2 linked regions of the Lonchura striata genome follow. The protein of the gene in region 1 binds, or shares a complex with, the protein of each later gene. Links are inferred from orthologs where the notes say so. Each region holds a gene or a part of one and is shown on either strand. Other genes may lie near its edges. The genes, in order: NGFR and TRADD.

The links.
Region 2: the proteins of NGFR (region 1) and TRADD are in contact, whole or in part, in an NMR structure (PDB 7CSQ), measured with the Homo sapiens proteins. The link is inferred for Lonchura striata from reciprocal best matches to the Homo sapiens genes NGFR and TRADD. Residues at the interface, in NP_002498.1 of Homo sapiens: Glu345, Glu346, Glu348, Lys349, Leu350, Asn352, Gly353, Ser354, Ala355, Glu379, Ala380, Cys381, Arg384, Glu420; in NP_001310481.1 of Homo sapiens: Thr201, Phe202, Asn211, Ala275, Glu276, Arg278, Arg279, Thr281, Gln283, Arg284, Glu287.

Annotation. Positions count from the first base shown.
Region 1 is NC_134627.1:7,913,447-7,928,715, forward strand, and holds the start of NGFR (tumor necrosis factor receptor superfamily member 16), read right to left. Parts: upstream 6,243-15,269; 5' UTR 6,187-6,242; coding exon 6,145-6,186; intron 1,684-6,144; coding exon 1,542-1,683; intron 1-1,541. UniProt on the Homo sapiens protein: Low affinity receptor which can bind to NGF, BDNF, NTF3, and NTF4. Forms a heterodimeric receptor with SORCS2 that binds the precursor forms of NGF, BDNF and NTF3 with high affinity, and has much lower affinity for mature NGF and BDNF.
Region 2 is NC_134615.1:15,183,062-15,198,264, forward strand, and holds the start of TRADD (tumor necrosis factor receptor type 1-associated DEATH domain protein), read left to right. Parts: upstream 1-9,179; 5' UTR 9,180-9,300; intron 9,301-10,495; 5' UTR 10,496-10,505; coding exon 10,506-10,647; intron 10,648-13,186; coding exon 13,187-13,464; intron 13,465-14,266; coding exon 14,267-14,459; intron 14,460-15,203. Other genes in the region: HSF4 (heat shock factor protein 4), read right to left, coding at 8-135, 1,216-1,324, 4,879-5,001. UniProt on the Homo sapiens protein: Adapter molecule for TNFRSF1A/TNFR1 that specifically associates with the cytoplasmic domain of activated TNFRSF1A/TNFR1 mediating its interaction with FADD.

The sequences.
Region 1 (15,269 bases):
CCTGCCCCGTGCCCGGCCGGGCGAGCAGCGCCGGAGCAGCCCCGGGGCGGCACACGCGGCTCCCATTAACCTGGGCTCATCCCTCGCATTATCCTGAATTATTGATGGGCGCCATTAGAGCGGGGAAGTGGCCAGGAAAGGCTTTCGGCTGAGTGGGCACATTTGCAGTGGCAGCCGAAGGTATCTGAGCTGAGCAATTACAGCCCAGATTCAAAGCGGCCCCTCGGCCCCATCCCTCCCTCCCCCGGAGGCTGCGAGGGATAAATAAATCATGAGGCAGCACCCGGGCCCTGGGGAGGGCCGCAATGGGGGGAACGGGGGAATTAGAGCAGCACCCCCCCTCTCGGGGTGGTTTCTGGCAGCCCCCCGGGCTTTGGCGGGGGCCGGGCTTTGGTTGCAGCAGATTTTTTCCGGAACAATTCCCCCGGAGGGTCGGGAACGCGTCCAAGGGAGTGCTCGGAGAAGGCAGCCCCGGGTGCAGGTGGGGACCCTCGGCCCTGGGCCGTGCCCGCATTCCTGGGCACCGGCTGTGCCAGCAGCGGGGCTGCCTCCACCTGCCCGGCCCGCGGCGGCACGATCCGGGGAGATCGGGGGGATCCGGGGGGATTTGGGGGGTTCCAGAGGGATCCAGGGGGTTCCAGAGGGATCCAGGGGGTTCCAGAGGGATCGGGGGGGTTCCAGAGGGATCCTGGGGGGTTCCAGAGGGATCCAGGGGGTTCCAGAGGGATCCAGGGGGTTCCAGAGGGGTCTGGGGGGTTCCAGAGGGATCCTGGGGGGTTCCAGAGGGATCCAGGGGGTTCCAGAAGGATCCAGGGGGTTCCAGAGGGATCCAGGGCCACAGGGGTCCTCTCCCCATCCCAGCAAGGGATGGCTGCTGTGTTTGCAGGTTTCCTTTCCTCCACACCCAAAATCCCTCTCAGGGAAGAGATGAGGGTGGGGAGGAGGTTTTCTCTTGGTGGGATCCATCCCTTGGTGGGATCCATCCCTCACATGGATCCGTCCCTCTCTGGGATCCATCCCTTTCTGGGGTCCATCCCTCTCTGGGGTCCGTCCCTCTCTGGGGTCCAGCCCCGTTTCCCGGCCGGGCTCAGGGAGGCAGAGCCGTCCATCGATTTCTCAGGACGCTGAGGTATTTTTAGCCCTGCCCTGGCTCCTCCAGCCTCCTGTGCCTCCTCTCCACTCCCTCCCAGCCCCGCTCCAGCCCTGCCCCTCTCCCATCTCCTCCCGGAGCAGCCCTGGCTGCTTGCAGGGCTCAGGGAATCCGGGAATATCCCAGTCCCGAGGATCCTCCCGTGCAGGCACCATCCCGACCCCCTCCCGGTGCCTGGCAGCGCTGCCCAGACCCCGCTGTGGGGCTGTGCCCCTCCCCGTGCCCCAACTCCCATTTTGGGGCAAGAATCTCCCGTTTTAAGCAATCCTGTCCCCAGAACCCGGCCCTGGCTCAGCGGAGGGGCGGGCCGGGATCGCTGCGGCGCTGCCCGGAGGGAAGGAGGGATGCTCGGGCAGGGCGCACGGCCTTGCCCGGGGCTGGGGGCACTCACTGTCCAGGCAGGGCTCGCAGACCGTCTGGTTGAGCCCGCAGGGCTGCACCACGCCCTCGCCCACGTTGCAGACCCGGCAGCACTCCCCGCTGGCCGTGAACAGCTTGGAGAAACAATCGTCCTTGGAGGCGCCGGCGGGGCCCTGGGGAGAGCAGAGCCGGGAGGTCACTCCTGCCGCCCGGGGGATGGGACAGCCGGGGCCGGGCCCGCTCCGGGGACACCCCGCTCGCGCTACGTGCAGATCTGGGAGGGAAAAGCGCTTTTCCGGGCAAAATTCACTCCTCGGGGAAAGCCCTGCCGAGTTGTGCGGCTGGAGGGAGACGGCGGGGCGCCCAGGGGTGTTTTGGGGTGCTGTGGCCTCGGTTTGTCCTTGTCGCTCCTCAGCCGCCTCCCCCGAGGGCTCTGCGCCATCCCGGGGGGCTCGGCCCTTCCCAGCCTGGGGAACGGGAGAGGAGAGCAGAAATTCCTGCCTCGGCGGGGGCTCTGGAGAGCCTGGCTGGCACCGCTGCCCCCCAAAACCCGCGGGCACCGGCAATGAGGAGCTGAGGGAGCGGCAGGACCTCGCTGTGCGCCGGCACCGGGTGTCCCTGCTGGCACAACGTGTCACCACCCCCGAGAGCCACGAACATCCCACGGGCACCCCCACGGGCCCCTCTGCAGCCCGGGGAGGGCCGAGCTGCCCCCCAAAACCCAGGAACCCCGTCCCGCAGGTCCCAGCGCTCCTCCCGCTCCCGCTGGCCGCAGCCCCGGGGCCGCGCCGTCCCTTGGCCACCCACCCACGGCTGATTTTGGGGAAGGGGGGAGAGGCTCGGGGGAGCATCTGGCGGCCTCGTCAGCGCCTTGGCCGCGTCCCCGCGCTCGGTGCGGCGCTCGGAGCCCCGCGCCGCATCCGGCGGGGCCGAGACAATGGAGCGCCAATTCCAGGCAGCTGAATGACAAAGTGCTCCAATTACCCTGCGCTGCGAGGCGGCCGCTGCCCCTCCCCGCCCGGCTCCGCCAGCCCGCTGGCAGCCCCTTCCTCCAGACCCCTTTTCCAGACCCTTTTCCCAGGCTCTTTTTCCAGAATATTTTTCCAGACCCTTTTCCCAGGCCCGTTTCCCAGACCCTTTTCCCAAGCCCTTTTTCCAGATCCTTTTTCCAGACCCTTTTTCCAAGCCTTTTTTCCAGACCCTTTTACCAGAAGCATTTCCCAGGCCCTTTTTCCAGACCCTTTTCCCAGAACCTTTTCCAGACCATTTTTCCAGATCATTTTCCCAGAACCTTTTCTAGACTCTTTTCCCAGACCCTTTTCCCTCTCTGGGTGGGCAGGAGGGATTGGAATATCGGGAATCCTCCCAGTACCCCCAAATATCCCCTGGGAAGGGTTTGGGGTGATGCCATGCGCCGCTCGTGGGGGCACATTTGGGGATTTTGGCCGCAGCTCATCCCGCTGCTCCATTCGGGCAGGGTTTGGGGAGCTCACGGCTCCCTGGGAAGTGATTCCAGAGGCTGGGAATGGGGCTGGGGCAGCCGGGCGTGCCTGGCTGTGACTAGTGACCGGGATGGACACGGGGGCATCCAGAGCTTCCAGGGATCCCAGAGCTTCCAGAGCTTCCAGGGATCCCAGAGCTTCCAGGGATCCCAGAGCTTCCAGAGCTTCCAGGGATCCCAGAGCATCCAAGGATCCCAGAGATCCCAGAGCATCCTGTGATCCCTGAGCTTCCAGGGATCCCCGAGCTTCCAGGGATCCCAGAGCATCCCCTGATCGCAGAGCACCCCACAATTCCAGAGCTTCCAAAGATCCCAGAGCATCCAGAGATCCCAGGGATCCCAGAGCTTCCAGGGATCCCAGAGCTTCCAGGGATCCCAGATCTTCCTCCAGTCTCAAAGCTTCTAAAGATCCCAGAGCATCCAGAGATCCCAGATCTTTCCCTGATCCCAGATCTTTCCCTGATCCCAGACCTTCCCCGATCCCAGCCCTTCCCCGATCCCAGACCTTCTCCCAATCCCAGACCTTCCCCCAGTCCCAGACCTTCCCCAATCCCAGACCTTCCCCTGATCCCAGATCTTCCCCCGATCCCAGCCCTTCCCCGATCCCAGCCCTTCCCCGATCCCAGACCTTCCCCCAGTCCCAGACCTTCGCCGATCCCAGATCTTTCCTCGATCCCAGCCCTTCCCCAGTCCCAGATCTTCCCCGATCCCAGCCCCTACCCGATCCCGGATCTTTCCCCGATCCCAGCCCTTCCCCGATCCCAGATCTTCCCCGATCCCAGCCCTTCCCCGATCCCAGCCCTTCCCCAATCCCGGCCCTTCCCCGATCCCAGACCTTCCCCTGATCCGCGATCTTCCCCGATCCCAGCCCTTCCCCGATCCCAGCCCTTCCCCGATCCCAGACCTTCCCCCAATCCCAGCCCTTCCCCAATCCCAGCCCTTCCCCCGATCCCAGCCCTTCCCCGATCCCAGCCCTTCCCCGATGCCAGCCCTTCCCCGATCCCAGCCCTTCCCCAGTCTCCCATTCCAGCTCCCCCACGCCGCAGGCAGCTGCGGGCGGTCCCGCGTGGGCCGGGCCTGGCCGGGCCACCGGCTCCGCTCCCGGGCCACCTGTCCTGTCCCCTCCCGCCCCCGCGCCCCGAGCGCTCCCAATTCCCGGCTCCAGGTGCCGCGGGCCCCTCGCTCCGGGGCTTTCCCGAGCCCCCCGGCCGGGCACGGCACCTGGCCCGCGTTAGGCTGCGGAAACGCGCGCTGTTAGCGCGGCTCCCGGTGACAAAGCCGCGGCTATTAACGCCGTAAAGCATCCTGACAGCTGGCCCGGCCCGGCCGCGGCCGGAGGGCGCAGGCGACACCTCTGGAAGCTCTTAATTGCTTTTTGGAGCCGTGCCGGGGGGGTCGGAGCCCGGGCAGGCGCTGCCGGGGGAGGACAGAGCCGCTCCGAGCGGGATTTCGGAGTCTGGCACCGCGGAGCGCCCGGCACCAGGAGGGGATGCTCCAGCTGGAGACGAGCCCGGCTGCGAGACGCGAGCCCGGCGGGCGCGCTCTGCCTCTCTTGGCCGAGCACCGCGTCTGGGAGAGGCCAAATCCCGGCTCCCGGCGCCTCCCGAACTTTGGGCAGCTCGGGGAGCCGCGTCCGAGCGCTGCGGCTCCGGCCGGCCCTGGGAGGCTCCGCCGCTCCCGGGCCGAGCAGCGCAGGCACCGAGCGGCGAGCGCGGCGGGCCGGGCTGCGGGGTCCCGGGCTGCGGGGGCTGCGGGGGTCCCGGGCTGCGGGGATCCCGGGCTGCGGGGATCCCGGGCTGCGGGGGTCCCGGGCTGCGGGGGCTGCGGGGTCCCGGGCTGCGGGGGCTGCGGGGGTCCCGGGCTGCGGGGGCTGCGGGGGTCCCGGGGTGCGGGGTCCCGGGCTGCGGGGGCTGCGGGGGTCCCGGGCTGCGGGGGCTGCGGGGGTCCCGGGCTGCGGGGGTCCCGGTGTGCGGGGTCCCGGGCTGCGGGGGTCCCGGGCTGCGGGGTCCCGGGGTGCGCGGAGCTGGGGGAGCACAGCCGGGGTCCCTGTTGTCCCCCCCCAGGAACACTCCCAGCCCCGCAGGTGCGGTCCCGGAGGGCAGAAGCAGCTCCCCGCGGTGACCCCGGCGCAGGGAAGCGGCGATTTGGGGACATCAGAGCCCGGCCCCGCTGCAGCAGCCGGGGAGGGGCGAGAGGGCGATGCCCTGGGGGGGGAATGGTTGGGATCCATCTGGCTGGGACAGCTCCGGGCCCCCCCGGCCGCTGTCCCGCTATCCCGGGGCGCTTTGGCCATCCCGATCCCGATCCCGGGGGGCTGTGGGGGAAAGGACCCCCCGGCACGGCGCTGCCAGCCCCGCTCCGCTCCTGCACGGAGCCGCTCAACTCCGCCTTTAATATCCTGCCCGAGGGGTGTCCGGCTGCCTGACGGCCCCCCTGGGACCCCCGGCAAATCCTGCCCCCCAAACAGCCCCGCTCCTGCCCCAGCTGCGGGCTCGGAGCCCCCCGGCCCCACTCCGGGCACTCCCCTCTCTGCTGGCCCCCCCACCCCAGCCTGCCCTGAAGTTTTTTGTCTGGGGCACACGGCGAGGGCTCTGCCGGGAGGAAAAGGCTCTCAGCCTCAGCTGTGGGGCACCTGGGAGCCGGGAAAGTCTGCGAGAGGTTGCGGGGGGTGCGTGCGGGGCAGGTGATGAAGGCACTGGGGGGGCTCCCCCCGGGCTGGGGCTCCGTCACTCTTTGCAGTGGCAGAGCTCGGGGCAGCGGCACCGGAGGGGCTGCGGGACCCCATCCCCACCCAGCTCCCCACGCCCCCTCCCACCGCACCCCAAAGAGCTCTGCTCGCCTCCCCGGGGCTCTCCGGTGCCCCCGGGATCCTCCAGCCCCGCACGGCGGGGACCCCGCTCCTGCCTGTGCTGTCCGCTGCCCCTCACCCGCGGGGCTCCCACCCCGGGGTCCCCGGGACCCTCCGGACACCCCCGTGTGAAGCCTCCGGGCCCCTCCATCCCACCCCCGCCCGGTGCCTCGGGGCTGTCCATCCCCCGGTGCCTCCGGGGACGCTCCCGGTGCCCCCGGGACGCCGCATCCCCTCCCCGCCGGGGCTGTCGGGGCTGCCCCGGGCGCCGCTCCCCGCACTCACCGCCGGCAGCAGGAGCAGCAGCAGCGGCAGGAGCCCGGCCATGGCGGGGGCAGCGGAGCGGGGCCGGTGACAGCCCCGGAAGCCGGAGCGCGGCCGGGCTGCCCTGGCTCTGCCGCTCTCCGCCGCGGCGGCGGCCAGAAAAGAGCTGCAAGTCCCTCCTCCTCCTCCCCCTCCTCCTCCTCCTCCTCCCCGCCCCCGGAGCATCACGGAGCGGCCGAGCCCGCACCCTCCGCCGCCGCCACACAAAGCCCGGTTCCCCCGGGCCCCCCCGGTCCCCCCGGGCCCCCCGGGCCCCGCCGCCCGCCCACGAAGCGTTTCTGGGGCGCGCTCGCTCCCAGCCCAGCCGGGGCTCTTCAGCCCATCCACGGCTTTGCCTCCTGTGCCGTCTGCCCGTCCTCCAGCCCCCTCGGCACCCCCTCCTCCCCCGGTCCGTCTGTCTGTCCCCGGCCCCGGGGTGGCGTCACCGCTGCCATCGCGGCCCCAGGGGCGGGATGGGGTGACCAGACCTGCCCCGGCTGCTGGGGACAAGGGACAAAATCCCCGGCCCGGGGACACCCCGGGCCCGTCCCAGCCGGGCGGTGTCACCCAGAGGCCCCCGAGGGGGGCACGCGGCGGGGACTGAATCAAATCTTTGTATTTCTGCCCTCCACACAAAGAAATCCCATCTGGGCTCCCCGTGGGCCCTGCAAGGTCCCCGCGTGCCGCCCTCCTTTGTCCCGGCGCCCCAGGGTGACTCTGCCTGGCCTCCTGCCCTCGCCGGGCCCGCAGTGCCCGCAGCTGGCAATGCCAGGGCTCCTTCCCCACCCCGCAGCGCTGCGTCAGCCCCGGGCACGGCTCCGCGGGGCCACCCAACCGCGGCACCGGGCACCGGTGCCACCGGGAGCGGCCCCGCCTCGCTGTCGCTGCCCCGGGCTGGCTCCTGCGGCCGCGGTGGCCACGGCACAGCGGATTTGGCCTCGTGTGCGTCCAGCTCCAGGTGTTTCCTCCCCGCTCCGGGCTCTGCAGGTGCTTTTGGGGCTCCCAAAATCCAGCAGTTCCCAGCCCTGCAGCCACCGGAGCCCCGAAATCCCGCGGGTCACGGTGGGAAAGCGCCACTCCGCTGGATTTCCTCTGGAAAAGCCAATTCTGGAGCCTCCGAGGTGCTCAGGGCCGGCTGCTGCCGCTGGCTCAGCCCGGGAAGGGCTTCACGGAATTCCCTCTCTCGCAGCTTTTCCGTGGGATTAAAGCCGAGCCAAAGCTGCCGTTTGTTCTCGTCACGGGCAGAACATCTGCGAGCCACATGGAGAAGCGTTCGCAGCCAAAAAAGCCACGCTGGGGCCAGGTGGGAACGGGCTGGGAGGTGCCCGGGGGCTGGGATGCCCACCCGGGGGCTGGGATGCCCACCCAAGATTGGGATGCCCACCCAGGATTGGGATGCCAGCCATAATCCCAGCGTTTTAAGGGTTTTTTCTGGGATCACCGATGACACCGCAGCCCCAGTGGAATGGGAAGGGGTGACCGAGCTTCCCCCGGCTGCAGGGGACAAAGGGACACCACCCTTGGGGACATTCCCGGGAGCAGACGCGAGGCAGGGCTGGCACAGCAGGGAGCAGCCGCGGGATCCCGCAATTAATTCACCGCAGCAAGTGGCAAATCCAGATGTTCTCCTCGGGCCCTTGGATAAATCCCTCCTCCCCCTCCTCCTCCTCCTCGTCCTGCCCGTGCCGGGGACACCGAGCTCGTGGCCCGCGGTCCCCGAGCCCCGTCCCCGCCGCCGCCGTGTCCCGGTGGGAGTCTGGGGAGCATCCCGGGAAAAGCCGCAGCCCTGGCAGAGCCCGTCCCGCCCAGCCGGGCTCCATCTGCGCCGGGCTGGGAGGGAAAATTCCCGCTCCCATCCCAGCCCCCGCGGCTCCTCTGGAGAAGGGACTCGCGGAATTCTTCACCGGATCACACGCGCCTCCTTTTTCCCGTCCCCAAAACAGCTGTGGCGCTTTCCCGGCTCCGTGAGTGACAAAGAACCTCCCGAAGTTCTGGTGTCACCTCCTGGAATTAAACCCAAAGGCTCCGGGGTTTTTTTGTGGGGGGGGAAATTGAACTCTTGCAACCCCTAAAGCCGCCCCAAAATCCACCCACCTGCCACTGGCTCTGGGGTGGGGCTGATCACTGTCCCCAAAAGCCTCGTGGCCATCGGGGGGGACCCAAAATCGGCTCCCGGTGCCAGCAGGGCACGGCGGGGCGGTGCCAGGGCTGGGTCTGTGCACTGGGAGCAGCTCAGGGAGGGCTCGGCCCCGCTTTTAATCACAAAAAAATCCTTCCATGGATTTTACAGGATTTCCCCGGCGGCTCCCGAGCTCCCCTCAGGCTGACGGGGTCACGCATGCAGAGGCTCCCATGCTGGAGGGAGCGCGGAAAGGGCGGGATTAATTAGCGAAAGGGCAATTAGAACTGGGTGAAACATCGCGTGCAGCCCCTCCCGGCCCCGCAGCGCTTTCACCCCCTCGTTATCTCCCTTCGGGCTCCTCCAGATCGCCCGGGGGGCTCCAGGGGATGTTTCCCCTCTCCCTCCACGCCGGGGGGCTCCGAAAGAGCCCCCAGAGCGAGCCCGGCTTAAACACTCGGGGCCTGCGGAGGTTTTACGGCTTTTACTCCAAACCGGGTGAAATTCCCTTCCCGACACAGCCGATTCTGCGGTGAGGGCGAGACAGAAATGAGGATGAATTAATAACACAGCTCGGAAGTTATTCCTGTAGGAACGGGGCCAGTTATTCCATGGAAATGGGGCCCAGTTTTTCATGGAAGTGGGGCCCAGTTATTCCCTGGAAATGGGGCTGTTATTCCTATAGGATGGGGTGAGTTATTCCCATGGAAATGGGGCTGTTATTCCCCATAGGGTCAGTAATCCCATGGAAATGGGGCTGTTATTCCTATAGGATGGGGTCAGTTATTCCATGGAAATGGGGCTGTTATTCCCATGGAAATGGGGCTGTCATTCCTACAGCAATGGGGTCAGTTATTCCATGGAAATGGGGCTGTTTTTCCCATAGAAATGGGGCTGTTATTCCCACAGGGATGGGGTGAGTTATTCCATGGAAATGGGGCTGTTATTCCTATAGGATGGGGTCGGTTATTCCCATGGAAATGGGGCTGTTAGTCCCACAGGGATGGGGTCAGTAATCCCATGGAAATGGGGCTGTTATTCCCACAGGGATGGGGTCAGTTATTCCATGGAAATGGGTCTGTCATTCCCACAGGGATGGGGTCAGTTATTCCATGGAAATGGGGCTGTTATTCCCATGGAAATGGGGCTGTCATTCCCACAGGGATGGGGTCAGTTATTCCATGGAAATGGGACTATTTTTCCCATGGAAACGGGGCTGTCATTCCCACAGGGATGGGGGTGTCACCCCAAAGCCCCGAGCTCCCCAGCGCTCCCCAAGCCCCCCAAACGCGGCTCCCGTGCCCTCGGGGGTCCCGCTCTCCTTTGGGATTGTCTCCCGCTTTCCAGGCCGGCGGTTCCTGCCTCCATCCCCGTCCCTGCCCCGCTCCGGCAGCTCCCGGCCTCCCCCCTTCCCTTTTTCCCTTTCTTCCCGTGTTTCGCAGCGCGATCCATCACCCTGCCGGCAGCAGGGGGGACTGGGCATGAATCTCTCCCTGCTCCGCGGGCCCTTATAAGGCCGGCCTGGAGGAGCGGCCGGGAAAGCCGAGCCGGGCTGGCAAAAACAAAGCCCGGAGAGAAAGCGGGGCCCGGGCAGCCCCGGGGAGAAAATCCCGGCGGCGGGGGACGGGCAGGAGGAGGCACGGGCCACGCCCGGCAGCGGCAGCGGCGATATCGATGATCGATCGATCCCCCCGCGCCGGGGCCGCTCCTCCTCCCCGGGCCGGCTTTGGGGCCCATTGATCCCGGGGTTGGTGCTGATGGATCGGGAATTCCGCTGCCGGCAGCGGAGTGTCAGCGGGGACGAGCCGGCCGAGAGATTTTTTATCTTCCTCGGCTCAGGGCTGCGCTTTTCGCTGCGTTTGGTTTTCGTTTGGGGGTGGGGATTTGTTTTAATTGACTCGGTGCTCGGCTGGAGTAGAAGGAGATAAAGGTAGAATGGAAGAGGGATGAGTAGAACGGAATAGAGATGAAATAAAGATGAAATAGAAATAAATTAGAAATAAAATAGGAAAAAAGAGAAAAAATATAGAAAAAATAGAAATAAAATAGACATGAACTAGAAATAAAATAGAGGTAAATAGAATAGAGATGAATAGAATAGAGATGAATAGAGATGAATAGAGATGAATAGAGATGAATAGAATAGAATAGAATAGAATAGAATAGAATAGAATAGAATAGAATAGAATAGAATAGAATATTACCACTGGAAGGGCCCTAAAACAACCCTCTAATCCCACTGTGCAGCCCGGAGGAGATCCAGTGGATTTTTGGGCTCCTCCCAGCCCACTCCAGGCCGGGATGTTCTCCATTGCCTGCCCGCTCAGCAGTGCCTCAGTTTCCCCTGTGGAAGCGGGGGTGGGATTTTCACCTCCGGGTGGGAATTTCACCTCCGGGTGGGAATTTCACCTCCGGGTGGGAATTTCGCCTCTCCAGAGCCTCTTCCCAGCAGTGACAGACGCAGGAGCGGGGGGAGCTCTTTTCCCAGCCCGCCGAGATGATGAGGGAATTTAATTGCTGCCTTCATCCCTTATGCAAATGAGCCGCGAGCACCTGCGGGAGCGGAGCCCGGCCCCGGCCCCGTGTCCCGGCACATCCAGAGGGATCCTGGGGCCGCTCCCTGCCCAGCTCAATGACCCCGCTGCTGGTTTTATTTTCATTCCCGCTGCTGGTTTTATTTTCATTCCCGGGTTCCCGGTGGGGATCGGTGCAGGGAGGAGCCCGGGGAGGGTTCGGCCGCTCCGGGAGCCGGGCGCGAGTTTGCCAAGGGCCGGGCAGCCGGGATCGATCGATCGGGCCGGGATAATCGCATTGGGACGGGCAGCGCTGTCTCGGCCCCGCTGGAATTCTCCGAGCCAGCAAACAGCCAGGAGGAAATTGGGTAAAAGCGATTTTATCCGATTGTAGCAGGGATTTAATGAGGGCCGGGACGTGACAGCCACGGGGAAAGCGGCCGAGGGGAGGAGGGCCTGGAGCAGGGAGAAGCTCCTGGGAGCACCCAGGGGTGCCTGGGGGGGTTTAAAGAGGGATCCCCGGTGGGAGCGGAGCCGCGCCCTGGCAGTGACGGACGGGCCGGGGCCGCCTCCCCGCCGAGCGCCGCTCCGGGAAGCGTTCGCAGCTCCCAGACCGGCAGCGCCGGGATTTGCTGAGGCCGCTGGAGCTCCCATCTTCCCTGGAACCCATTTCCACGGCATGAATCACCCAGCGGAATGAACTCAATTAGTCCAGACAGAGCAGGAGATAAATCAGGGTCCCATTAGGAAAGCTGGAGGTGATTTATGGCCCCGAGCGGCAGCGCTGCCTGCCTCCCTTCCCTGCCCGTCTGCAACCTGCTCCGCAGCCGCGCCGGGGCCCGGATCCTCTCCCGGGGCCGGGGATCCTCTCCCGGGGCCGGGGATCCTCTCCCGGGGCCGCGGATCCTCTCCCGGGACTGGGGATGCTCTCCTGGGACTGGGGATCCTCTCCCGGGACTGGGGATCCTCTCCCGGGGCCGGGGATCCTCTCCCGGGACTGGGGATGCTCTCCCGGGGCCGGGGATCCTCTCCCGGGACTGGGGATGCTCTCCCGGGGCCGGGGATGCTCTCCTGGGACCGCGGATCCTCTCCTGGGACCGCGGATCCTCTCCCGGGACTGGGGATGCTCTCCCGGGGCCGGGGATGCTCTCCTGGGACCGCGGATCCTCTCCCCAATTCCAGCTGCTGGGGTATAGAAATCTGCAAATCTGGGCTGGAAATTCCCCGATTCCAGCTGCTGGGATATAGAAATCCGGAAATCTGGGCTGTGATTTCCCCGAGTTCAGCTGCTGGGGGCTTTGATCCGTGCCGAGCTCCCCGGGGCTCATCCTGACTCATCCAGGGGCGCTCCTGGGGGGATTGGATCCCCCTCAGCAGCCGGGGATGAGGGGAGGGGGCCGGGAAGGAGCTGGGTGGGCTCCTCCAGGGAGATCAGCCCGGATTTGGGGCGTCACCCTCCCTGGGGAGGTTCTGGTGCTGGGTCTGTGCTCCGCGAGCCGATTTTATCAATCATTTGTCAATCAATCATTCATCAATCGCTTATCAATCGTCATTATCAACCCAGCTGCTCCGGGCTCCTTCCAGCCGTGGGAGGGGCCGGGGTTTGCCGGGCCCGACAATTCCCGGGGCAGCGGCGGCTCCGTCCCCGCCGAGGGCTCGGGGGCAGCCCGGGGGCTCCCCCGCATCCTCAGCCGGCGTTTCCCAGGGCTCAAAAAGGATTTTTGCCTCCCGGGCAAAACCCCTGCCCGGTGCTGGCCCCGGGAGCCGCTCCGAGGGCTGGGAATGCCCCGCGCCATCCGCAGCTCCTTCCAAAAAACGACCAAAAACAAAGTGCCGGGGGCTGCTTTTCCCCAGGGACAGCTCGGGTGCGGGGCTCCATCTCCTCCGAGTGACCCAAGGGTTTGCCCGCAGCCAAGGGCAGCTTTTGGGGGACACAAACTTTGCCCCAGGGGATCCCTTCCTGCACCCCCACCTCCAAAATTGCCTTTTTCACCTTCTCCCCCCTCGATTGTGCTCCGGGCGCGGCTGGACGCGCCCCTCCCCTTCCCCAGGAGCCGCCGGCCCGCCCTGCCGGGAGTCAGCGGGGAATTGGGGGATCAACGGCGGGCAATTAGCGCGCCCCGGAACCGGGCGGGCGGCGGGGAGGTCCCGGCGGGGCCGCCGCCGGTGCCGGGGAATGGCAGCGCTGGGCCGGAGCCATGCGGGAAGCGAGGCCCGGGGAGCGCCGCGGGCGCGTTTGGCACGGAACGGCCCCGGCCTGGCAGCCGCCAAATGGAAGCGCCGGGGGGGCCCAGACAGGCCCGGGGCCGGAGAAACCTCCCGGGGCCACCGAACCCCCCGCGGGCCCGGCAGCGCTGCGGAACGAAGAGGCTGCGCTGGGGGGAAGCAGGGGATGGGAGCCCCCGGGAGGGAGCCCCGATGTCTGTGAGCCCCGATGTCTGTGAGCCCCGATATCTGTCACCCCCCATTATCTGTGACCCCCGATATCTGTGAGCCCCGATATCCGTGACCCCCATTATCTGTCACCCCCAATATCCGTCACCCCCGATATCTGTGATCCCCCCCGATATCCGTGACCCCCATTATCTGTCACCCCCGATATCTGTGACCCCCGATATCCGTCACCCCCATTATCTGTGACCCCCGATATCTGTGATCCCCCCCGATATCCGTGACCCCCATTATCTGTCACCCCCGATATCTGTGACCCCCGATATCCGTGACCCCCATTATCTGTGACCCCCGATATCCGTGACCCCCCCGATATCCATCACCCCCGATATCCGTGACCCCCGATATCCGTGACCCCCATTATCTGTCACCCCCGATATCTGTCACCCCCAATATCTGTCACCCCCCGATATCCATCACCCCCGATATCTGTGACCCCCGATATCCGTGACCCCCATTATCTGTGACCCCCGATATCCGTGACCCCCCCGATATCCATCACCCCCATTATCTGTCACCCCCGGTATCCGTGACCCCCGATATCCATCACCCCCGATATCCGTGACCCCCGATATCCATCACCCCCATTATCTGTCACCCCCGGTATCCGTGACCCCCGGTATCCGTGGCCCGTCGCTCCCTGCCCATCCCGGCCCGTTCCCAGCCTCCCCCCGGGGCTGTGCCCGGAGGCAGCGGGGGCTCGGTGACCCCGGGCCGGCTCCGGCTCCACAAAGCCCCGGATTGTTCCCCCCGGCGGCCGCCGCTGCCCCTGCGGACACCGGAAAACGGGGGGGGGGCGTTTCCAGGGATTCCTGCGGGCCCGGGGGTGCCCCGGGCGGGTCCCGTGCCCCAGAGGGTGCGCATCCCGGGGGGCACAGCGTCCCCCGTCCCACGGATCCCACCCCAGGGATCCCACCCCATGGATCCCATCCCACCCCAGGGATCCCACCCCAGGGATCCCACCCCATGGATCCCATTGATCCCACCCCACGGATCCCACCCCACGGATCCCACCCCATCCCATGGATCCCACGCCATGGATCCCACCCCACCCCGTCCCATGGATCCCACCCCATGGATCCCACCCCACAGATCCCACCCATGAATCCCACCCCACCCCGTCCCATGGATCCCACCCCATGGATCCCACCCCACCCCGTCCCATGGATCCCATCCCATCCCTCCTGCCCAGGAATGAGCAGGGACAGGGACAAGGACAAGGACAGGGATCGGGATGGGGATCAGGATCGGGACAATGACAGGGCCAGGACCGGTCCCGGGGCGGGGCTGTGACCTTGGCCCGGCCCTGAGCGGGACTCGCCCCTGGCCGGGGCCCGATCGATCCCGGGGCTCGGAACGGGCTCAGGAGGGACCCGCCGGGGTCACCCGGCCGCGGACGAGCACCTGGGACTAATTGCAGGGAATAAATGAGCAATTAAGGGCGCTAGGGCAGGGCTGGAACATCCCAGACCTCCGGCTGACCCCCGGGCGGTATCCCTGGAAACGGCCGCACCGGGATCGGGATGCTCAGCCCGGCCGGCACCGGCGGCACCGGGGCCCTCCGAGCCCCCCCGGCGGCGGAAGCGGCTCCGGCCCCACCGGCAGCTGGGGCGGCCGCACTGAGGCGCCTTTGTCCGGCACAGGGCTGGGTTTACCCGGGGAGAGAAGGGTTTGTCTTGGAGCAGGCAGGATTTACCCGGGGAGGGCAGGATTTGTCCCGGGGAGGGCAGGATTTATCCCGAGGAGGGCAGGATTTGTCCCGGGGAGGGCAGGATTTGTCCTGGGAGGACAGGATTTGTCTTGGAGGGGGCAGGATTTATCCCGAGGAGGGCAGGATTTATCCCGGGAGGACAGGATTTGTCCCGAGGAAGGCAGGATTTGTCCCCGGGAGGGCAGGAATGGAAGCACCGTTAAGGGCCGGTAGCACCGTGGAGAACCGGGCAGCCCCGGGCGGGCAGAACGGGCCGGTCCCGCTGCCCCCGCGGCGCTGCGGGCACCGCCCAGCCCGGCACGGGGGGCTCCGC
Region 2 (15,203 bases), on another chromosome or scaffold:
CCCTCACCTTCCTCTTGATGTGCTCCAGGAGGTGCTCGTGGCCCTGCAGGAAGCAGAGGTGCTGGAACTCGGTGTCATCCCTCTCAGGCTTGACCAGCCCACCCTGCTCGATGTTCACCACCTTCCTGAAGCCATCTGCACAGAGAGGACATGGCTGATGGGCAACAGGAGCCAGCACTCCCTCCACCTCCCACCCTCGTCACTCTTGAGGACATTTCTGATCACCCTCCACACTTTTTGAGCTGCCAGTGCTTATCCCTGGACATGCTTTTGGGCCATAACCACCAGAAATCCAGGGCAAGGGAGAGCCCTGTGCATCCCACTGGCCACCTATGCTGCAGCCTGTGCCACGAAAGCCTTTCCATCACAGGCATGTTGCTCTGCCAGGAGCTGGAATGCCAGCTTTTAGGGAATTCCTGTCTCAATTTGCAAGCCACGGGGATTCAGGGGAAGGTTTTTCAAAGGCACAGACCATCAACAGGTGTCACTTTTGGAAAAAAGGGTCACGTGCACATTTGGAAATCTGCTTTGAGTACTTCTCTGAAGTCCTTAGAAGTTTCTAAGCTGTATTTAAGGAGTAGCCTAAAATTTACAAAAATGCTACTACAGAGTGAAATAGCAAAGTTAAAACTGACTAAGGAACTTAATTTCTCATTGAAAAATTTCCAACACCTATTAGAACAGTCATGTTGCTGAAGTGGCTGAAAATTACACCTAAACCTTCTTTAAGGGATCAGCAAGGCAAGGTTTGCAGGGAGAGGAACTGTCTGTTACTGAATTCAGTGATATGGCTGGTGAAAGGGATAAGGTCAGGGCACACGACCCACAAGAACAGCATATTCTGGGGGAGGTGTTACAGTTGGTGGCTGGATAAAACTCCATACAGAATAAAATGGAAAATTAATAATAATTGGTCATCAAATCAATGCAAGAGAAGCAGAATACCTGGTAGGTGAAAGTTCTTAGCCAACATCCTATAAATGTAATCCTAGAAATGTAATCTAACAGAAATGTCATGCTGAAATTTAAGGTAAATACAAGGAGATCACTACTCTGGGATCTGAGAGGCAGATCCTCTTTGGCAAAATCAATAATGCCACAAGAAGTCACATACATGAGACCCCAAACTTTTCTCTGCACAATTCTCTCCCATGCCTCCTGTCACCCCCCCTTATTTGTGGGGCCCACTGTCCTGGCCCTGGGAACTGCACTTACACATGTTCAGCTGCCGCACGAAGCTGGCCATGTTGTTGTGCTTGAAATACTTGGGCAGCACCTCTTTGGCAAAGCGGCCTTGGTCGAACACATGGAAGCTGGTGCCATTCTGCAAAGGGGATAAGGACACAGGCAAAGTCAGGGGAGCATCCCTGACCACGAGAGGGGCCCAAGAGGAGTCCTACAGCAGGGGAAGTCTTGTTCTCTGAATTGCCACATTGAAGCTAAGAAGAGTGAGAACAGCCCTCAATGACAGATGTGTCGCTTTCAGTTCCGGTACAGTCAGGACTCTATGGGTGCAGGTTTGATACTTTTCTGCTTTTTGTCACTGCTTAGTTGAGAGTCTTGGATGTAAGAAAGAAACCACTGACTTTTGTGCCCAAATAGCTGGTAGGTAGTCTGTGATCATCCCCTCTTTCATGGACTTCTCAGAAAGACTCAAGTCTTAAGAAGGCCCTGAAAGTGGGAATTGCCATTATAACCTACTGGTTCAGATCTAACCCAAATCCACCGGCTCCAGAGCACAGCAGCCCTGGAGGGAGTACTGCCTGGAGACATGGCACAAGAAACACAGCAAGGCAAGAAGCAAATCATCTCTGGAGACACCAGACTTGCCCAGAAGCTCTACACACATTTTATTGATTATTTTTAATAGTAAACAACCACAAGGGCAACCGACAAAATGTTGACAATCACGCTTTGCAGTCCAAGCTAGCAACACACATGTTAATCAGATAAATCTTCCATTTCTGGGGTTGCATTGCAAAGATCCATGACTGCCAAACAAGGCAAACTGCCTGGGATTGTTGGCAGAGAAGATGCACTGCAGGCCATGTGCTTTCCCTGCCTGGCCTTCTACCTGCTGACAGCTACAATGACATCAGCAGATATTAGGGGGGACTTGCCTCAGCTGCAGCTGAGTTTCAAGGGACAAGAGCTAAAGACACCAGGGCCTGCACCATGCTGGCAGGGAGGGGTCTGAGACCAGCACACCACAGTCATCCTCCTGCTGTGTTCAGTGCTATTACATCAGACAGAGGTGTGTCAGCCTGGCTGGGCATGCCAGGGGCTGGTTTGTGATACAGGACAGTGTTTTGCAAGAGCCCTCAGGCTCTGTGTGCAGTAGGAGGTACCAGTGGTGTGAGTCCCACCTCGCACCCATCGGGGGGCTGCAGCTGTGAGGGTGCTCTCAGGGAAGTCTGGAAGTCTCTAAAACAGGGAGTGCAATCAGGGCTGCTCAATCCCAGTGCAGCTCAGTGACTAAAGAGGGGCTGGTGTGTACCTGCAGCCTGCCCATGGCCACCAGAAAACAGCCAGCTGGCAAACCCTGCTGTCCTACACTGCATTTCCATCACCAAATGGTGCCAGTTGCCTCTGGCTCAGGCTCATTTTGCAGCTCTAACAATTAACACCCACTAACATGGGACTTTGGGTCAGCTGCACTTCTTGCTCCTTGCTTACTACTGCAAACACTGAACATGACTGTGCCTCAGCAGTGCTCTTTGACCATTTTTGGGGTCTTTCCTATCATTCCTTACCCTATGCAGCAGAAGCAAAGGCTGATCAAGCACTTCAAAGATTCACTGACAGCCTGCATGCTGGAATTATCCTCACAGATAGAGTTTGCCGACAGGACAGCAGGGACCAGGGTTTCCCAAAACTGCAGGCACTGCCCTGGGGACAGAGCTGGTTTATTCTGCTTCTCCTGTGCTTCTGCCTCCTTACTCTGGGATACAGCTTTGTGTCCCAGGCTGGACCCACTGATGGAAAATGAGAAGCACAAGAGTTTTGTATACCTTAACAAGTCCTTATGGCCTTTCATGAGAGGCCATTCCTTTGAATTCAGGGCCACAATGTTCTCAGAAGCTGGCACACTCAGAAAGGCTCCTACAGACACAAGAGGTCTTGGGGTTACTGTGTGCTCACCGGTGAACTGTACATGTGTCAGTTTGTTCCCACACTGCAGCTGTGCCGTGGCTGTTTTACACCATGGGAGCACAAACTCAGAGAAACTCTGGAAGTCTTCTCTGCCCAAAGCAAAACTGACTCTGCAGCACAACAATCGTGGCAGATGCTTATCTCAACTGCTTTTGACAGAACCACCAGGACAGGCATGTTGTGCTCTGACAAGACAAGTGCTAGTCCAGGAATTTGCCAGTTCTCTCTTACTGCATTTCCATTTAAAAAATGAATTTAATTACTTCTTGTCCAATCTACTACAGACACAGAGAGCAGAGTTTTCCTTTCCACCTCACAACAGACTTTAGTGTATATATAAACCATTACTGCATTTCCTCTCCATCTCTTCTTCATCCTAAGAAACAGTTCACAGGTCCTTATGGGTCCTGTTTTCTAGAACTACTGATTACACCCAGAAATCTTAGGCATACACACAATCTCTCAGCTCCAACATCACCAATATATAGAAGCTGAAGAATATGCGAAACACGGATACCTGCAACAACAGGAAAATTAGACACCTAAAAGCCTAACCAAAACCTCCAAGGATATAGCTGCATGTTAGTTTCCAGGAAATCAAAGCACAGTGATGGTCAATGTAAAATAACAGTGTTCTAAGTATAACAGAGAGGGGACTATTTACACAGGTTAGAAAATTATTTATAGCTTTAAAATCCTTATTTAAAATTTAAAATTTGGTGGTTCTCAGAGGTATGGCCATGTAATACCAGCATCAAACAACCATGGTCACAGATATCAATGCAGCTGAAATCCTGTCTCAGGTTTGGAATGAAAAGTCTACTGTACACAAAGTATATAAAAGAAAGGCTGCTTTAGACATTTTTACCACCTCTCTTTAAATCTGCTTTTGTTAGATTCTTGATTTTGGAAAACAAGTTTAAGTACATAGCTTATCTAATAACTCCCTGCTGAAAACAAATCATATTACTTGCAGCAAGTTGTAGGTCAAAACCACAATGTGGTATCAATTGTTGTATAAAGGGGACAAATATTTTTTTTCTGTGCTTGCAGTTAGTATATTAATGCCTCTGTGAAAAATAAGAAGCCAAAGCAAAGCAAACTATCCCCGTGAAGCTGTACAGACAATATATAACCACATCACTTTTATCATCACACAGACTCATTGAAAAATCAAGTAAAGCTCTTCCAAAACAATTCAGGGTGCCAGTCTGAGATCTGTTTAAATTACAGGTTTGAATCTGAGTTCTGAGTGCTCTTTATCTGCTGCCTTCCACCCAGACATTTGTGAGAAGCTGCTAAGAAGCACATATGAGATAACACCAAACAGCAGTGAAACTTTTTAAGGGTTTTGCATATTTCCTAGAAAATGTTAGGGAGCTGCAGATTCAAGCAAGGTGAAAAATATTTCTCTCAAAGCATGTGGAATTCTTAGAATCAGAAAATTAGACACTTTTTAGGATGTTTCAAGTGAAATGTGTAAATATCATCATTAAAACACCCACGAAACAGTTGCCCCTCTGAAACAGAAATGCCATGATATTTCAGATAAATAATACCAAGTATATCCAAAAGCGCCTGTTCTTGTATCCTGTTTTTGCACTCTGCCAGGGCAGCACCTGCCAAGCAGAGGGCAGCTCCTGTGCCGTGCAGTTCTCAGGCCTCACACCTGGGTTTTCCCTGTTGTTGCAGGCATTAGTGACACCCGATACCTGTTGTACTTACAGAACTCCAGCAGATGAGATGGTTCGTTTCAGGGTCTTCCACCAGCGTCCAGAGTTTTGTTAGGAAGGCTGGGACATTGCTGGAGTATCCATCCATCACCAGAGAGCTGGGTGAATCCTGCATAGCTTTGCAGTGTCCCAGCTAAACTGACCCCATTGCCCTGGGCGCGCCTGCGTCCCTGCACGCGCCCGCGTCCCGCAGAGAATGAGCCACCCAATTTTATCCCAGGCCAGTGGAAAGTAGGCGTCCAGGGAGTCACATCAGCAGTGCTGCTCGCACTCTTAAAAACTCAGCACAATGGGATGGCATCACCAGCCCCAGAGAACAATGCACAGAATGAAAATGCACTGCAGCCGATCTCGCAGAGCTGTGAATAAATACGCAGCGTCATGCAAAGGGAACACGTGCTGCCCACCTTATGCTGGGAGGTGGGCAAGTCACCAGAGCAAACCCACCTGCCCAGAGTCTGTGGGACACCCAGGCACAGACATCCCAGGTGGCTGAAGGCACCTGAGTTGTTAGTTTGTAATTTTCTTGTCCTAAACTTTGGCTGGCATAGACGAAGGAGAGCTGGCCAGACCCAGGCTGTACATCTTCAGCAAGACTTTGAAAAGTCAAAAGTGTAAGCAGGTTTAGCTACTATCTTATTTGTCAACAGAAATTATTTAGCTCTTGCATGAGAAAACAGGATGCTAAAAACAGCTACACATAGAGTCTATTAGACAATATGGTTTTATCTTCAATATAAAATCTTAAATAGCTCTAAATACATGTGTGGCTTAATGCCAGAGTAATTTCAACTCAGAAACTGCTCTTTAAATAACATAATAAAATATAAAATCAATATTAAATTTTTCTGAGGTCCTTAGCAAAAACTTGCAAAGCTCAACATTCCTGCTAAAAAATGGAACAGATTTCTCACCTGATTCCTACAGAGTCCTTTAAGGCCAAACACTGAAAGAGTCAGAAGGTGAGAAGAGACAAGATTAGTGTCAGGATAACAGTGCATTAATTTTTTCTTGTCATTTTCAAAGGGCAACTTAGTGTACTAAGAATGTGGTATTTCCCCTAAAACCGAAAACCAGCAAGTGACACAAATTTTATATAAGCAGGTGCTAGTCATGCCAGGTAAAATCATCACACATAGAAGTCACAAGGTCAGCAGTGCCATGGAAGAGTGGAGTAGATGTTTGACACGCACTGGAAACAAGGATCAGGCTATTCCTGCAAAGGTGCTTGGGCAGAGGACCCCACTTCTCTCACCTGACCTCTATGAAGTGCCAAACAGAGCTGGAAGGAACAGCTGCAGCCCCCTGTCTGCGTACCTGGAAGTTTCTGTGTCCATCTCAAAGAGAAAGATAATACAATATTCAAACAAGGATTTCTTCTGGGATGTAACGCCACAGTTCTGGCTCTGGAGCAGATATTTTAACAATTCAGTCAGGTATGAATATGGGAAAACATCCAAAACTGCAATTAATTCTCAATAGAATTGAGAAAAATAAAACAACAGCAACAAAAAAAAGGGCCACACACATTAGAATTTAACAAACAAATCAAACTGGACTACAGAGGTTTCAAACTTGAAATTTCACTATATTTTGAATTTGAACTTTAAAAATTATGAAAATCTCTTGGTCAGTTGTTTCACAGTTTGTTTTGGTTTTGTTTTTGTTTTTCAATTAATCCTAAGAAGCTGAGTGATACTTTTCAAGAGTTAAAAATGTCAGATGAAAGCTTTTTGGGGAAAAAATGGTCTTTTTTCCTACAGTGAGGTTTTGCTACTCTGAGTAATAAAAATGCAAGGGAATTTTCTGGTACTGCTGCACTGGTATTCAAAAAGCTGAGACAGATTTCTCAAACTGTGGGGGAAAAACCTCTTTGCAAGCAGAAGCTCTGCACAGAAAACAGCCTTACATATCCATTTTTTTACTGATAGTGCAACAGAAGGCCTAGAGTAGAAACCAGCAGCTTAATGATGGTGGTCCTTGCCTGGGATGAGATGTTGCAGTTTGGAAAAAAATCCTTTTTTGACTTTGACTCCAATTTGCAGAAACTGCACTTAAAATGTCTGACACAATAAGGGAAACATGTATTTTAATCAACCTTTCCTGTGAACTATAATGCAGAAGAGTAAGTATCTGGGAAGAAGGTTTAGAGCATCAGATCATTACCTAACTTTTCCATTTGCCTTCTTCCAAAATGTGTTGCACCTCTCTTCTAGATTTCTGCACAAACTACACTCCCACCATGACATGTTTTTTCAGCCCTCTCATATTTTAAAAGCAAATATTTCCCTTCCCAGGCCAGCACTGGAGTGTGGGCCTGATCTCACAGTCTCACTCTGAATTTCATGGCACACCCTCTCTGGGGCTGTGGAAGCCCCAGGTCCCAGAGTCACAGCACTCCCTCAGCAGTGCAGGTTTCATTTAAATAAAAACCTGTGCACCAAAAGAGCCTCAAAGAAGAGCTGGAGTTGAAACCCATGAAGCAAGTACGGAGCAGCAACGCAAAAAGCGTAACGCAGAGGGGAACACAACTGCACGTTTTTCTAGAATGTGCTGCTTTGAAGCGTGACTCCTTACTGGGAGTGTGAGGTGGCAGCAGCACAGCAGCTGTGCTATCTTATCTGCCATCATATCAGCGACAACCCCCTTCCCACCCAGCCCAGCTACAGCACCAAGTGACACCATCCTGCTTCCTTCCTGGGAACTCAGCATCTTCTGCCATTTTCTCTGAAAATCACCTTGACAGCTCGGACATTGTTCTTCTACTTTTAGCTGCTTTTAATACTGTCTGTAACACATATCAGCCAAAGTGTTACAGCAAAATGAGATCTCATATTCAGCTCCTTTTGTTTTATGATTTCCTTAAAGCCTTTGGAGCCATTAAGAAGGATCATAAATCTCACAGACAGTAAGAGTGTGCTTGTAGCCTTCTGACTGCTGCCAGCTCAGGGCAGCCTGGCCCATCCCAGCCCCAGCCCCCCAGGCAGACTTGCCTCTGAACCCTGACACCCCAATTCTGTGCCAGCTGAGCCCCACTGAGCCACAGCCTCTCCCTTCACTACCATCTTTACTTCTCAAGTGGGAAATAACAAGATGAAACTCCAAGTGCTCATCAAGCACTTTGATTTAGCCCCAAGGGATGCTCCCAGAAAGTACACACTCAGCAAGGGTCAGCAGAGGAGAAACCTGGGGCGCAGCTAGCCATTCTTTTTTTACCCCCACAATATACAGAAGGCAGACTGGCTTCAAGGAGAGAACATTTCCAGGACATGGGTGAGTGATGCTCCCCACAGCAGTCACACTGTAGTTCCCACCTGGTTCTGGGAGCCAACACTGCTTCAGGTTTGGCTTTTATAGTGAAATGTTGGGATGTTCAAGTTCACTTAGCCCTATCAGACAGACCTTTAAATGTATGAACTCATTTGCTAAAACTGTTAGCAAGTAAATGCTTTGTTTCCAGAAGCATTGGCCCCATCAGGCTTGCTGACCCTGAAGGGGTCTGTGGAAACTGCCTGCCCCCCTGGATCTGACCCTGTGAACCAGAGCACCCAGGAGATCTAGCCTAGGTTAACCTCTTTACAGTTCTATTTGAATCACATCTTTGCTTTAGCAAATGAATTAGGTTTATTGTTAAAATGCCGTTGTTTTAAAATAGCATCAGATATATAGGTATTTTTAGTGTTTTAAAATGCTTCCTGCTCTTTTTAGCAGTTCAGGCGCCCAATTTGCACAAACCACTGCCAAGCCAGAGTGCCTGCAGCTTGCACGTCAGCCCAAAATCTGGCCCCAGGCCCATGCCAGCTTTTCACCAGCTGGGGACAAACAAGGGAGCTGCTGTTATCCTTCAGCTCACAGGGCACCTGTGCAAGGCAGATGCAGCCTGGGCAGGAGGCTGCTACCTGAGGAGCAAAGGAGACCCAAATCATGCTTTGGCACAGAATCTCTCGTGGACTTGGGAAATGCTGCTTCATTCTCTCCACCTATCCAAGCTCTCACCAGCAGCACTACGGGGAAAAGCTGACAACTGCAGCCTCCGTGTGTCAGCCACAAGGCACGCAGGGGCTTCAAGCCACCGCACTGGCCTCCATCCCTAATGGTCCAGAGAGATCCGTGCATGGCATCCCTCGGGCAGCTCTGGAGCCACCTGCACGGAGTGCTTCTGACAGATGTCACACCCTCACCTGCACCAGAGCCACCGAGCTGTGTGGGCGGCCTTGCGGCGGGGACACCTGAGGCGTCAAGGTGTCCGCAAGCCCCTGCCCCCGGGGCGGGCCCGGACAATCAGCAGGCACCGGAGGGAAGCGCCGCCGGCCATTCCAAGGGCTGTTGGGATTTACTTTCGCCTTCCCGTTTCCCCGCCCGCCGCGGCGCCGCGCCGGGGCGGAAGTGTGGGGCCGAGGCCGGCGCTGAGGAGGTAACGCCGCCGGGCCGGGCCGGGCCGGGGCGGGGGTCCCGCCGGGACAGCGAGGGGCCGGGCTGGAGGGGCCGCTGCGGGCTCTCGGTGCCGGGCTGGGGGCACACCGGGCACCGAGCGGGCAGCCGGGCAGCGCCGGGCCCGCGGGCGGCACAGCGCGGCGGGATGGAGCCGGCGGCTGCTCCGGCGCTTTTCCCTTTGGGACAGCCCCCTCACAGCCCGGCTGTGACGGGAGTTGAGCAGCGGCGGCCTGACGCCTGCCGAAGTCAGCGAAAAGGCAATGACCGTGATGGCAAACGTGACTTACGGTCCGGGGCTGGTTTTGGAAGCACCCCGCAGCGGTTTGGCCGGGGGCTGGGACGGGGCAGTGCTCGCTGGACGGGAAGAGACCCGCTGGGTTAACACTGCAGAGGCACAAGAGCAAAGGGCATTAACAAAGCAGAGGGGTACCCCGAGCTACAGAATCACCGAATGGTTTGGGCTGGAAGGAACCTTTCCAAGGCCATCCAGTTTGACTCCTCTGCGGTGACCGGAAACATCTTCAACTAGGTCTGGTCTCTCAGAGCCCAATCCCACCGGGCCTTGAATATTTTCAGAGATGGGGCATCCACCACCTCTCTATGCCTGTACCTTGCTACCCTCACTATAAAAAATTTCTTGATATCTAATCTAAATCTACCCTCTTTTAGTTTAAACCTATTACCCTTGTCCTGCCTGTGTAGAGTATCCTGTTACAAGAGCTCTGGGCCCTGTGAACAACCAAGCCACCAGGACCTTAAGGAAAACGTCTCTGGTTGCAATAGAGCTTCAGTCCATGGGAGCATGCCACAGCCAGGACTGCTGGGTGGTCCCTGGAGTGCTTCAATCATTTCACATTTTGCCAGCTTGGCTAGTCAGAGGCACACGGACTGAAACTCTGCTTCAGAGTACCTTTGGACTTCGAAATGAATGGACTGCAGTGGAAAATGAAAGCAAAGCTTTGCGAGCTGCTCTTTTTGGGATATGGTGTCCCACTGTGGTGTGCTTTACAGAATAACAGTAAACCCCTCAAAGGCTACACTTGCTTTAGCAACATCAGCACTGCTCCAAGAAGTAAGAGAATATCCCCATAAGCTGTTGTGCCTCTGCTATAACATTCTCCTGGCATCAGGACATTTCCCTTATGGCCTCTGAGCTTGCCTGTGTGATTTTGCAGGGTGCTGAAGATGGCAGGCAGCTCCCCTCCTTGGACTGGCAGTGCTTACCTCTTCCTTCAGTCTACCTGCAAGACCATCGCTCTGCCGTCCCTCTACGAGAGCTCCCAGAAGAAGCCTTGTGTGTTCAAGGCCCTGAAGCTGGCGTTAGCAGGTACCCATCCTCTGGTATCTTGGTGTGCAGTGCCATGCCTTTCTTTAATCTCACCCTCACGGGTAAGGAAAGCTCATGCTCGCTCTGTTTAGGAAAGGCAATGAGGTGGAGCAAGCTCAGCACAGGTTCACCAAGATGGCTGGGGGCTGGAGTACTTTTGCTATGAGGAGAAGCTGAGGGAGTTGGACCTGTTGAGCCTGAGGAAGAGAAGGTTTCAGGGGACCTACCAACAGCTTGCTGATACCTATGGGAGGGAGAGATGGAGCCACACTGTTCATAGTGGTGCATGGGGAATGAGAGGCAAGAGGCACAAATTGAAATGAAAGGTAGATACCTGACAAAAGAACAAATGTTTCCCCCATTAAGACAGTCAAGCAGTTGCCCAGAGTGACTGTGTACTCTCCATCCTCAAGGGCTTTCAGACAGACTGGATAAAGCCCTGAGCAACTGGTTCTGACCTCAGAGCTCACCCTGCTTTGCATAGGAGTTTGGGCTGGACACTTCCTGGGCTTCCTTCCAACTTGAACCATCCTGTGAATTATCAAACTTTATGAATGTTTGTTTAAACCCATTTATGTAACAGGGGAAAAGATTGCAATTGCTGTGAAAGAAGATTTAATTGCTGTCTTTATAGCACCACAGAAACATGATTTCTGCTTTGAGAAGCTGTTTTTTAAATCAAGTAATAGCCAGTATAAATTAATTTCTATTCAAATTCTGATATAATTCAAATTCAGATTCTGATATAAGCAGACACACATTAGCTTGAGGTGTATGTAACCCTATTTACATAAAAGAATTACTTGATATGCAAATAGCCGTAAAACCATATATTTCTCTATCCACCCTTGACCAAGCACACTGCAGGGTGATAGTAATTTGAAGAGTTTATCACACTTACCTAGGAAGACTCGCAGTGGTTACACAGTTACACAGCTGAGACTCTATTGTTTAATTGGGCTTGTCTAACTATTCTGCAGTTTCTTCTGGAAACCATGCCAAGTCAGTTTATCCAATACAGGCCTGCTCATTTTGCAGCTCATTCCAAATACAGGAAACAGGAAGCAGGCAGCCTGATACAGTTGTCCAGTTAGGCTTGATTTATTGCTGCTCTGTGGCACTGAAATGTGAATCTACTCACACATTTAAAGGACAGCTCACAAAACTGAAATCCTATCATGCTTATTCAGACCTGAAAAGGACATGAAATCTTAAGCTGCCCGAGGTTTCATGCAGAAGTGCCTGCAAAGTCCCATCTTTTGAGGCTGCTTTACAGCTGTCTTGTACACTCTTCATAAGGGTTTCCATGTCTGTGCAGCTTTCCCTCCACAGCCCTCTTGCCCTATTATGGAAGTTTTGTTTAATAAGCACTCATAAAAAGCAAAGCATGAAGGAAATGATAAAAAATCATCCACAGTGAATTTAAATATCTTTTCTAGGTGCCTAAACCCATGTGTCAGTTACACATGTGGTCCAAACTAGACCAGATGCAAACAGGACTTAGTAAACATGTAAAGCCACTGTTAGATACTATACTTTTAAATACAAGGTTACTTGCCCTGCTTAATGTGGAGCACACAAGTCTGCCTTGTCTTAAGATTGTCCTCCATGCCATGACACGTAGTTTAGGTATTTACCTGATGTAGGGCCAGTGTGAGCTGGTGTCTCCATACAGCTCTCAGTGACAGCCCATGAGGTGCAGTCAGGTCTGGAAGTAGTACAGCAGCCTCACAAAGGCCTCTGCTGCAAAAAAAAGAGAAAAACACATACTTAGAACTCATCAGCAGCATGTAAAATCCTGTGGAGATAAGGATAATAAGCACAGCTAATAAAAATTAAATTCTGCTGGGAGAAGGAAGAATTAAGTCCTGGCATTTTCTGTTTCCACATCGCTTGTGCTCCTCCTGCACTAATGTTACAGGGTACATCCCTGGCTTCTCCTTGTTTAGATTTTACCATTAATTAATTTTCTGTGCAAAATAACAAGTCAAGGCCCAACCTCAAGCAGCTTAACCCCTGTGGCAGGATCTGTCATTTGCTGTTTGTGAAACATGTTAAAGGCTCAGAAAAACAAAAGTTACCTCTAGGCACAGGTGGAGAGGAAACACTGAGTTTCTTTCCAGGACCTCCATCACTGCATAAAACTCCAGTCACAAAGACTGAAGGCTGACTGAGCACTGAGGTGAACTGAGCTTTCATCTATAAAACTTTTGTATGCTACCAGTTTATCATAACTATCTCCGTCCTGGAGATGGAACCTCAAATTTAAAACTTGCCCTTATTAGGGCAGTATTGATATAATTACCTGGGATGTAGTTCCATACATCTTATGTTGGACACCATACTCATGGAGATCAGTGGAGGCAGGGCAGCATGAACTTAATCTTTCCCTCTTGGTTTAACACATTTTTCCATCCCAGAGGACTTTATCACAAAGAGATTGCAAAAGCTCCTCTATTGCAGGCTTGCTGTGGATGGGTGGGGTCTGTGTGGGCTGGCTCATGCCTGGATTGTGACTGTGCTCCCTTCTCCCTGCCAGACTCCACTGGCAGCGTGAATGGTGTGGACATGCTCAAGGTGCACTGTAGCCACCCACACCTGATAGTCCAGCTCAGGTTCTGCAAGGAGGAGAACTGCCGCCGCTTCCTGCAGAGCTACCGCGAAGGAGCACTCCAGAAGTCCCTCCAGAGTCACCTCCAGCTCTGCTTGGCCACAACCATGGTGCCTCTGGAAGTGGAGCTGAAGGCTGGCAGTGAGCACCTTGACAAGATGCTGAAGGATGAGGATCGTTGCCTGGAGTGCATCTACAGAGAAAAGGTGAGTGAGAGAGGGAGAGAGGCTGGAAAACAATGAGGAGGGGTGGCACTGGGCTTGCAGAGGTGGGTGCAAGTCTTGTTCTGATGGAGCATTCAGTCCTTTAGATCTTAACTCTAATGTGGAGAAATAGCTCTGCCCTTCCTCAGAAAAAAGGGCAATAGAGTTACCTAAAGCAGCCTGCAAAGAGCCTGCTAACTCTCTGTGCCTTCTGTGTATAACAGCTAGCGTGGTTGTTATCCCCACTAAGACAAGGAGTTCTAGACAGTGCAGCTTACACACAAGTGTCCTCAGTACAGCTGTGAGGCAGGCAGAGAGGAGCAGCCCTGGCTGGAACCATCACTGCTCTGCACCTCCCTCCCCTGCCTCACACACCACCTCCTCCCAGAGTGGCAAAGGTAACTGCACCTGGAAATGAGCAGTGGAAGTGAGTGCAAACACTGCACATCACAAAAACTTGTGTCAGAGGACACACAGCATCTACTGGCAGCAAGAGTAGGCTGCCCTTCTGAAGGCAAAGTCTCTCTCATCTGACTTCTGGTTCATTGCACACTTTGGCACTGGCACTCTAATCCTGCTTGCAAGAACAGTGAGATCTTGTCATCTCACGACAAGGCACTTGATATGATTAAACTCACTGACTTGTTCCCCTCCTCTTTTTTTTTCCATCTGGAACTTTAGCTCTGGTTCCTCTAAATGGTCCTGAGAAACAGGCATTCACTATCAATAGGAATATTAGGCATCAGCAAGCACAGCTTTGCAGGCTGGTGTCCCTGCAGAGTCACTGATGCTGTTTGTGTTACAGCCTGACCGCCTGCCAGATGAGGAGATCATGGAGCTGGAGGAAAGCCTCAAGAGCCTGGTGCTTCACCAGAGCACCAACAACAATATGGCTGCAAAAGACTGCTCGTCTCTGCAGTCCCCATCTCAGCCTTATCCTCCTCAAGGCGGCTCCCTTCCCATACAACTCACCTTCATCTTTCAGGGACAGCAGTTTGGTGAGTAGCTAGAGCTGACCAACAGAGGCCTTGGTCTGACTCACAGCCCAGGAGGGAGAATTATCATGACTGCATATTGGGGTCTACCTCAGAGAAACAAAGCACTTCCCAGCATCCCATAAGAAAGAAATTACAGTAGTCCTAAGATATTGCCATGATGCTTCAGATCAGGCATCAACCTGTTTTCTTTTCAGGGGTGGCACAGAACCACATATTTCAGAGTTTCTGTCCCTTCCACAGTCCTCACATTTTAAAATGAATAGTGGAAGGAAGACTATAGAGTATTTTTCTCTTCTTCTATGTCACTTGGTTGAGGTGAGTTAATAGTGTAGGTTGGATCAGGCTGGGGGAGTTACCATGGACACCCTCAGCCCTGCTTTCAGACAGGACTGATTTGTCCAGGCTCCCTCAATTCACCAGCTGGCTTTGGGGTCTGTCCCTGCAGAGGGTTTTCAGAGAGTCTCAACAGCAATATCAGCTTGAGATAAGCGATCATTTCTGAGCTTGCTTAAACTGTGTATAGTCTCCAGTGCTTAACAGCTGAGGAGAGGGCTCGTGTCAGCATTTCAGTGTTTTGAGGATGTTTAGATAGGGAACAGGGGATTTTGTCAGAAAGGCCTTTGAAAGGCTAAAACAAATGAAGAGGGTGTCCATCCCAAAAAAACAAAAAAACCAGCTCTGGCAAACCACAGGACAGTTCTGAGGGAGAAAAAAAGAAAATAGGCCTTGCCAAGCTTGCAGGGT